Linked DNA regions of Callithrix jacchus. The protein of the gene in region 2 binds, or shares a complex with, the protein of the main gene of each other region. Links are inferred from orthologs where the notes say so. Each region holds a gene or a part of one and is shown on either strand. Other genes may lie near its edges.

Evidence for each region. Proteins that work in one complex are often made in the same cells at the same time.
Region 1: the proteins of DDN (region 2) and MAGI2 are in contact, whole or in part, in a crystal structure (PDB 6KKG), measured with the Mus musculus proteins. The link is inferred for Callithrix jacchus from reciprocal best matches to the Homo sapiens genes DDN and MAGI2. Residues at the interface, in NP_001013763.1 of Mus musculus: Asp222, Arg223, Pro224, Pro225, Pro226, Tyr227, Val228, Ala229, Pro230, Pro231, Ser232, Tyr233, His237, Arg238, Thr239, Leu240, Gly241; in NP_001164217.1 of Mus musculus: Glu308, Met309, Ala310, Tyr311, Thr312, Glu313, Gly315, Tyr318, Ile320, Asp321, His322, Lys325, Thr326, Thr327, Ser328, Trp329, Asp358, Tyr361, Tyr364, Val366, Asp367, His368, Arg371, Arg372, Thr373, Gln374, Phe375.

Annotation. Positions count from the first base shown.
Region 1 is NC_133512.1:71,716,697-71,720,314, reverse strand, and holds part of MAGI2 (membrane-associated guanylate kinase, WW and PDZ domain-containing protein 2), read right to left. Parts: intron 3,035-3,618; coding exon 2,913-3,034; intron 2,563-2,912; coding exon 2,434-2,562; intron 978-2,433; coding exon 795-977; intron 1-794. UniProt on the Homo sapiens protein: Seems to act as a scaffold molecule at synaptic junctions by assembling neurotransmitter receptors and cell adhesion proteins. Plays a role in nerve growth factor (NGF)-induced recruitment of RAPGEF2 to late endosomes and neurite outgrowth.
Region 2 is NC_133510.1:70,561,148-70,565,486, forward strand, and holds the start of DDN (dendrin), read left to right. Parts: upstream 1-1,421; 5' UTR 1,422-1,509; coding exon 1,510-1,718; intron 1,719-2,106; exon of another isoform or gene 2,107-2,130; coding exon 2,131-4,060; 3' UTR 4,061-4,339. UniProt on the Homo sapiens protein: Promotes apoptosis of kidney glomerular podocytes. Podocytes are highly specialized cells essential to the ultrafiltration of blood, resulting in the extraction of urine and the retention of protein.

The DNA.
Region 1 (3,618 bases), on a different chromosome or scaffold from region 2:
CTTGAATCAGCACTTAAAATACATAAGGTCCAATTTAATTTCTTCATTGTTTTCTAGATAAGGAAATTAATATTTATAAGTTATGGGACTTATCCAAGATTATGGGCCAGGCAAGAAAATTTAAAATCAGACTGTGAACCAAACCTCGTTCATTACTTTTTCATTTACTCTGTATAATTTTCATATTTTATACATTCCTGCCCTTAGCAATTTGCCTCTGTATTTCCACATGAAATAAATTTCAATTATAATTTGAGTAGACATCTGAGTAATTATATATGAAAAATAATTTTTAAGGACTAGAAAATACCCATATAGTAAAACATTGTATGGGGACCTATACCAACTTACACCAGTTTAAAATTTTTTCTATAAGATGAGCATGTATATTTCAATAACTAACCTGGATGATTTAACATGAGAACATTAAAAGATTAACACAGATTTAAAAATATTGTGGCTGAATATAAGTTAGAAAAGTGTGAAATGTTAATTACACTCCTAAGAACAAACTCTAGATATAAATTAGACAAGTGTCAATCTCAAGAGTCCATTGAAGCCAGCAAACAGAAGGGGCAGTCTAAAAATATAAGGCAAAAATTATATTCAAAATTGTTTCCAAATTAACTCAACTTGATATTTTTTAACTTAGGGAAACATAATTTATACTTTATGCTTTTCGTAAACTGAAGTGACCTTTGTCTTTTGAATAAAAACACAAAAGAAGCTCCTTATATTTGCCTTTAGAAAAAAAAAATTTGCAAAACAATTTTCGAAAGCATCAAGGACCTTACCTGTTTCCATTTTTCCATCTTGTGCTGCAGGCCCATCTGGAATCACACTTTTCACCTGCAGAAACTCGTCAGGCTCGTCTCCACCAATGATGGTAAATCCAAAACCCATGTTGCTCTTTTTTAGGGTGGTGCTGAGGAATGTTCCCTTCAACTGGGATGCATCCCGGGTGAAGAGTGGTTTTTCTACATTGGCCAATATAAGTTAAAAAAGAAAAAGGCATGTTCAAGGTAAGTTCTCAGACAAGAGAAAGCCAGCCCCCGAGCAGCAACAATCCCCGGGGTGAATGTGGGGGTCTTAGCAAATGCAAGCAGGTGGTGACTACAAGAGGAGCAAAACTATTAGAACTTCCTACAGGTAAAGAGCAGTCCCAAGCATCCAGGGAAAGATGAAAAAGCTGTTTGGTTTGGAGACAGACTTTTTGTCAAATCAGTTTCCATTCATTAATTTGGCCTTCTTGGGCTTAAAAAAGGCTGTGTCAACAGACGGCCAGAGCCTTCAGAGAAAGAGGAACAAGGAGCTCAAATCATCCAGACACATCTGGATCTGTTCCTCTTGTTATGAAAGATTCCAGGTAGGAGGTATGTGTCAGTGGCCAGTCCTAAACTAAGCCTTGAAGAAATAAGAGTAAAAAAATGAAATGGACTTGTGATTTTTTTAAGTGAATGAGAGCACAACATTTCAGCATATACAGTATAGCAAACAGATAAGCAGTGGAATGTGATCACATACTCAAAGGTCCAGATTGCTTAGAAAGAGTACCTGTATGTGGGACTGACTTTTGTTTACACCCCTCTATTGTGAGATACTATGAAGATAACCAGATATATAAATTGCTATTGGCTCCCATAGTGTTTAGTATACTCTAAAATGTGAGCAAAAGGCAAGCCAATGTTTTTAGATATAATTATGAATGTAAAGGTAACACATTTTGTAACAATATGTTGATAGATTCAAATCATACAACTGCCTGAATAATCTGAATAAGCAGTCATATAGATTTACCTGCTAATTGATTATATAATATGCTTTTCCAGCTACAATCTGTAATAAATATATTCCTAAGCATAATAAGTGCTTTAAAAATAACAGTCACACTAGGAAATGGAATTAATATCTGCTTTAAATTCCTTCACAGATAAATATTTTACATGATTCTTTAAAAATGTTATATTTAGGTGATCTGATTTAATATTTGTAATAGCCAAATCATACATGGAAACTCAGTTAAGTATTCTGCATGATACCTTTTCTTGTTACATTTTGGGTGGTATGTAATCAACTCTAAAAAAATGAGTCATTCTCTTAGACTTTTACTTTTTCTGTTCACTTACATGTCACGTGTATCTTTATTAAAAACAGAGCTTCTTTAAAACATAAAAACCATAGATAATCTTTTCTTCTGTGTTTTCTTTATCAAACGAATGTTTATAATTGGAGAGAAGTTCATCAGGAGACCTTTACATTCATTTAATTATGCTGTAGTATATGGCGTGAAAATTAGCAGGCAAGACTAGACCTCCCGACTCCAAAGGCTCTTTGGTGCTTTTATTTAGCCCACTAGCTGTGAAAAGTTTGTGCAGCAACTCATCCCACTACGTGGCTCCCAGGTGTAGTCCCGCAAGCAGCCCTGGGACATACCGAACAGCCAGGGCCTCCCTGCTGGGTCGCGCTGATGGTAAGACAAGTCATCCACGCTGCGCGACCTCTCCGGGGCAGCGTGGGGGCGGATGAGTTTGGGCCTAGGTAATGTCGATGAGGAGCTGTCTACTGTCACAAAGGAGAACAAGCCTCATTCTTGTGCTTGGTCTTTTAAGGACAAACTTATGAGTCTCTATGAATCTCTGCAGTTTACAGTGCCACTATCAAAATCCCTTCATCTCTACCTGGCGGCATGCTGTACATTCCTACAAGGTACTGCCTGAGGCTTTAACTTCATCTGTGGTTGCTAAAGGCATTAGTTTAGAGAGAATTTAGCAAATCCAGCTAAAGCTAATAGAAGGGTCTGGAGAAAGCAATCAATTTTTCAAAATGGTCCAAGCTACAGACATATTTGGAAGAGCAGGCAGTTTGACAGATAATTTTCCCTTTGAAACATCACATGCTGACAGGTATCATACCTCGGAAACCTGGGGCCTGCAGGGGCTTTGTTCCAAGTTCTGTGTGGGGCATGTTATGTTGCTGTAGCTTCCTTTTTGCTTCCAGAACAGGATTTTCAAACTGTGTTCTTCTATTTATGTGGCTAAAAAAGAAAATTTCAAATTAGGACAACAGTGGGGCAAAGTCATTTTAAAGGCCATACGTATGGCTCTAGAGAGAGCAGGAGATTAAGGGTCACCTTATCTGATTACAGTCAAGTGCCTCACCCAGCACGCAGTCAGGCTCCAGACTGGGCTGGCCTGTGTACAACACACATTTCTGTGACAAGTGCTGAGTTCTCAAAGGGTCCATCATATGCTATTCTGTTTACATGATGCATGATTCAGCCAAAAGAACTAGAACGTGCACTGGCTTTCTGGTCTACTGTGTTTCTTTGAGGTGAGTTTGATGCATAAAAATAAGTGGTCAAGAAATGAAATTTTTACTGAGTGGTGAAGAAAAGAGCATCATCTGAGCTTTGCAAATTTGCCATATCCAACAGGATGAACGTGAAATAAATTCACTGATAGAGTGTAGCAACCGGAGTCTGCACTGTTTAGAGTTGGTCCTGGATTGAGAGACTGGGAACCTAGAGAAAGACTCCCAAGATGTTTGCAGAAATGACAGAAGACATATACAGGACATTTTATGCTGACATAATGTAAAGTAGAGAATTCATATTCTACA
Region 2 (4,339 bases):
CTTGCTTCTCCCATTTCCCCCTAAAACCCATCCAATCAGTCTCAGTGTGAGGATGAAGCTGAGGGAAAGACAAGGGATAAAATTTGGGACTCACAGGCTTCTATTCTTACCTATTCTTCTCCAGAGAGGCAAATTATCCCTTCTTCCCGAGGAATCATTGCCACACACACTCTCTTTCCCCTCTCTCTGCACCCCTCCCCTCCACTGAAGCTGCTGCCATGGTTGCCAGGCATGGTTGCTAAGTCTCTGCATGGAAGGATTGGCGTGGGCTGTGCTGCCACTAACATTACCATGGTGAATCAGGGGACACCTGGTATAAGCTTAGGGGGAGGGATCATGTGGATGTAAGCAACAGCCCCCCAGGATAGAGGCAGCCCAAAAGGTGAGCATCTGGAGCACCACTTCAGGTGGGGGCTGAGTGAACTAGGCATCGTGGTGGTAAGGGGGAGCTCTACATTGGAAAAATAAGGGCCACTTTTGTCATTTCAGTTGCTAGGGGATTAGTTTTGCCAAGCAAACACACCATTCCTCCTCCATCCCCCTCTGGAAGGGTGAGAGTGCATACTCATTTACTCTGTCCTCCATAAAGCTGAGCAGAGCTGTGTGGGCACAGAACACTATAACCCCCACATCCTGGCGTCTGGACTCGGGGTGAAAGCCTGCTGCTGCGGGACGGCTCCCTGGCTGCTCAAGGACAAACATGTAGAATGGGACTGGGAGGGCAGCTTGGGTGGCCAAGGTAGGTGCCTGTGTCCTGCTGTACCAGCAGTCCTAGGGGCAGCACTGAGCTGGTGAGGAGATAAGGGTGTAGGGGTCAACCTTTTTGAGCTTAGGGAAGGCAGCTCTCCCCCAAAGTCGCACAAAAGCCTGGTGAAAGCCACCGCCTCCTCTCTCCACCGCATGGGAGCTGGTTACTCATCTCATCTCTGTACCCGAACAGCCACTGCCGCTAAAAATAGCCCCCCAGCCGTGGGCCAGCCCCTCCTGCACCCCAACCCCATGGAAACCAGCAGAGTAGCAGGCAGAGACCTTGAGTTCCATTCTCACCACTCCGTTTTGGGGAAACTGAAATCTGAGGCAGGAAGCCAGGGGCAGAACCCTGGCGGTCAGGCAACCTGACAGGCAGAGGAGTAAAGGGTTAAAACGGCAGGAAGGTTGAAGAAGTAGGGGCGGGGGAGGGGGCACTGTCAGCTTGTCAAGAATCATAAGTCCCTCCCCCGCCCACTCGTGCGATCCCATCAGGCTTGGGGGACAACAGCAGTGGGAAGGGGCGTCCAATCCCGGGCCCCAGGGGGCGGCCGTGCACATGGGGGAGGTAGCAGCGCGGAGCAGCCCGCGCGGTGTCACATGCGCGCGCACACACAGAGACAGGCACACACACGTGTGCCCGGGTATATATAGTTCCCAGTCCCCGGGCCCGCGGCTCTGCAGTGGTCGCCGGCTCCCTGGGCTGGGAGGGGGCTCCTGGGGCGGGTGGGAGGGTGGGGGGCCGGGGTGGGGTGGGGCAGGATGCTGGATGGCCCACTGTTCTCCGAGGGGCCTGACAGCCCCCAGGAGCTCCAGGATGAGGAGTCTGGCAGCTGCCTTTGGGTGCAGAAGTCCAAGCTGTTGGTGATCGAAGTGAAGACTATTTCCTGTCATTATAGTCGCCGCGCCCCTTCTCGACAGCCCATGGACTTCCAGGCCAGCCACTGGGCTCGCGGGTTCCAGAACCGCACGTGAGTGAAGCAGGGGTGAGGGGAAGAGAGTGGTGGGGCGGGGAGTGGGGTCCGGACCTCCCCGAAGGCACTAGCGAGCATTGCTGGTCCCCTTTCTCTTTCCCACGCCTCTCTCCCCTGCCCCCTCCCGAGGGCTGGGGCCTGACTCATCCGGTTGTTTGGGGGAATAGGAGTGGGCGTGAGAAAGGGCAGGAGGTGAGATGGGGCAGACGCTGTTAAAGTGTGCATGGAGAGATGGCGAGGAGTCCCACTTCGACTTCAGTCCTAACATATACGCACGTGCACACGCGCACACACTCACACACACCCCTTCTTATGGCTGCCCCAAGCGGTCTCCAGTGTTCCCAGCTCCCCGGACCTCGGCTCCCTTCCCCCACAAACTGCTCACCTGGGTTCCTGCTCATTGTCCCAGGTGTGGGCCGCGCCCGGGATCCCCACAGCCGCCGCCCCGCCGGCCCTGGGCCTCCAGGGTGCTGCAGGAGGCGACCAACTGGCGGGCGGGGCCCCTGGCCGAGGTCCGAGCTCGGGAGCAAGAGAAAAGGAAAGCGGCGTCGCAGGAGCGGGAGGCCAAGGAGACAGAGCGAAAAAGGCGCAAGGCTGGCGGGGCCAGACGGAGCCCCCAGGGTCGGCCCCGCCCGGAGCCCCGAAACGCCCCTCGGGCGACCCAGCCGGCGGGGCTCCCTGCACCCTCGCGGCCGGAGCTCCTGGCACAGGTGGGGCGAGCGCCCCGTCCATTCGCGCAGCCGCAGAGCGACCCAGGGTCGGCGTGGGCGGGGCCCTGGGGAGGTCGGCGGCCGGGGCCCCCAAGCTACGAGGCTCACCTGCTGCTGAGAGGCTCTGCCAGTACGGCCCCGCGACGCCGCTGGGACCGGCCGCCACCCTACGTGGCTCCACCTTCCTACGAAGGCCCCCATAGGACCTTGGGGACTAAGCGTGGACCCGGGCACTCCCAAGCGCCCGCTTCATCAGCCCCAGCTCCTACTCCCTCCAGGACAGAGGGAGGGCGCATGAAGAAGAGGCTGGATCCTCGGATCTACCGGGACGTCCTCGGGGCTTGGGGTCTCCGACACGGGCAGGGTCTCTTGGGGGGATCCCCAGGCTGTGGAGCAGCCAGAGCAAGGCCAGAGTCCGGCAAGGGGTTCGTGGAGAAAAGCCTGGGGCTGGCTGCTGCTGACTTGAACAGTGGTAGAGACAGCCATCCCCAAGTCAAAGCTACAGGGAGCCCAGGCACCGAGACAGCTCCTGCGGGGTCTGCAACTGCGGCTCCCAGTGCCCCGCGTCCCGCTCCCAGGTCCAGGCACCACATCAAGGGCTCGAGGGAAGGGAAAAAAGGAAGAGAACAGATCTGGTTCCCCAAATGCTGGATTCCCTCCCCTAAAAAGCAGCCGCCCCGCCATAGCCAGACACTCCCCAGACCCTGGGCTCCTGGAGGCACGGGATGGAGAGAATCCCTCGGTCTTGGAGAGGGGGCAGGACCAGAGACCCTGGAGTGTTGGAAGGCGACCCGCCGTGCCCACACCTTGCCCCGCAGTTCCCAGGGCCCATCCCGTGGGGAAGGCGTCTTTGTCATTGACGCCACGTGCGTAGTGATACGATCCCAATATGTCCCAACCCCCCGAACCCAGCAGGTGCAGCTTTTGCCCTCTGGGGTGCCACGCGTGGTAGGGGATGTCCCCAGCCAATCGAAGCCCGGCAAGGAGGACAGTGAACGGGCCACAATCTTTCCTTCCCCTTGCCAAAAGCTGCCGTCAAGCAGTCACCTTTTACACCAGCCTAGCGAGGGCGGCGGGGGAGAAGCTGAGGGCGGGAGGCCGGGGGACTCCTCACTGGAGGAGCGCACCTTCAGCATCTTGGGGCTCCCGGCCCCCGAAGTAAACCTGCGGGACGCCCCCACGCAGCCAGGTAGCCCAGAGCACCAAGCCTTAGGCCCAGCAGCTTCGGGAGCCCGGAGCAGAGCCGAGGGCTCGGAAGTGGCGGTGGTCCAGCGGCGCTCAGGCCGGGGCTGGGCGCGGACCCCAGGGCCCTACGCCGGGGCCTTGCGAGAAGCCGTGTCCCGTATCCGCCGCCACACCGCCCCTGACTCGGACACTGACGAAGCTGAGGAGCTCAGCGTCCACAGCGGCTCCTCTGATGGAAGCGACACAGAAACCCTGGGCGCCTCCTTGCGGAACGAGAGGACCCTGCCCGGGGTTGGAAACAGTCCGCCAGAGGAAGGTGGAAAGACAGCGGAACTGAGTGACAGGGTCGGGGAGATTGTAGACGTCGTCAGCGAAACCGAGGAGGTCCTCTTCGGGGTGAGGGACATCAAAGGGACCCAACAGGGAAATAGGAAGAGGCAGTGAGGGGCCCCTTCTTGTATTCGTGACCCCAACACATCCATCCTTGGGTCCACTGGTCCCCATTCTTCCCCACAGATTTCCTTTACTTCTTTTTTCCTTGTATCTTTACCATACCTGGTCCCATCCTCGACATAGAAATGAAAGAAAGGGAAGCATATACCCATTCATGATTTTGTTTCAGGAGAGGTGAGAGTGAGCAGTAGATTTAATTAATGCCTGCCTGCCGTGTTCAGGGCACTAGGGTGTGCTCTTCGCAGGGCCTGATGCACTGGGGGTGGAGCT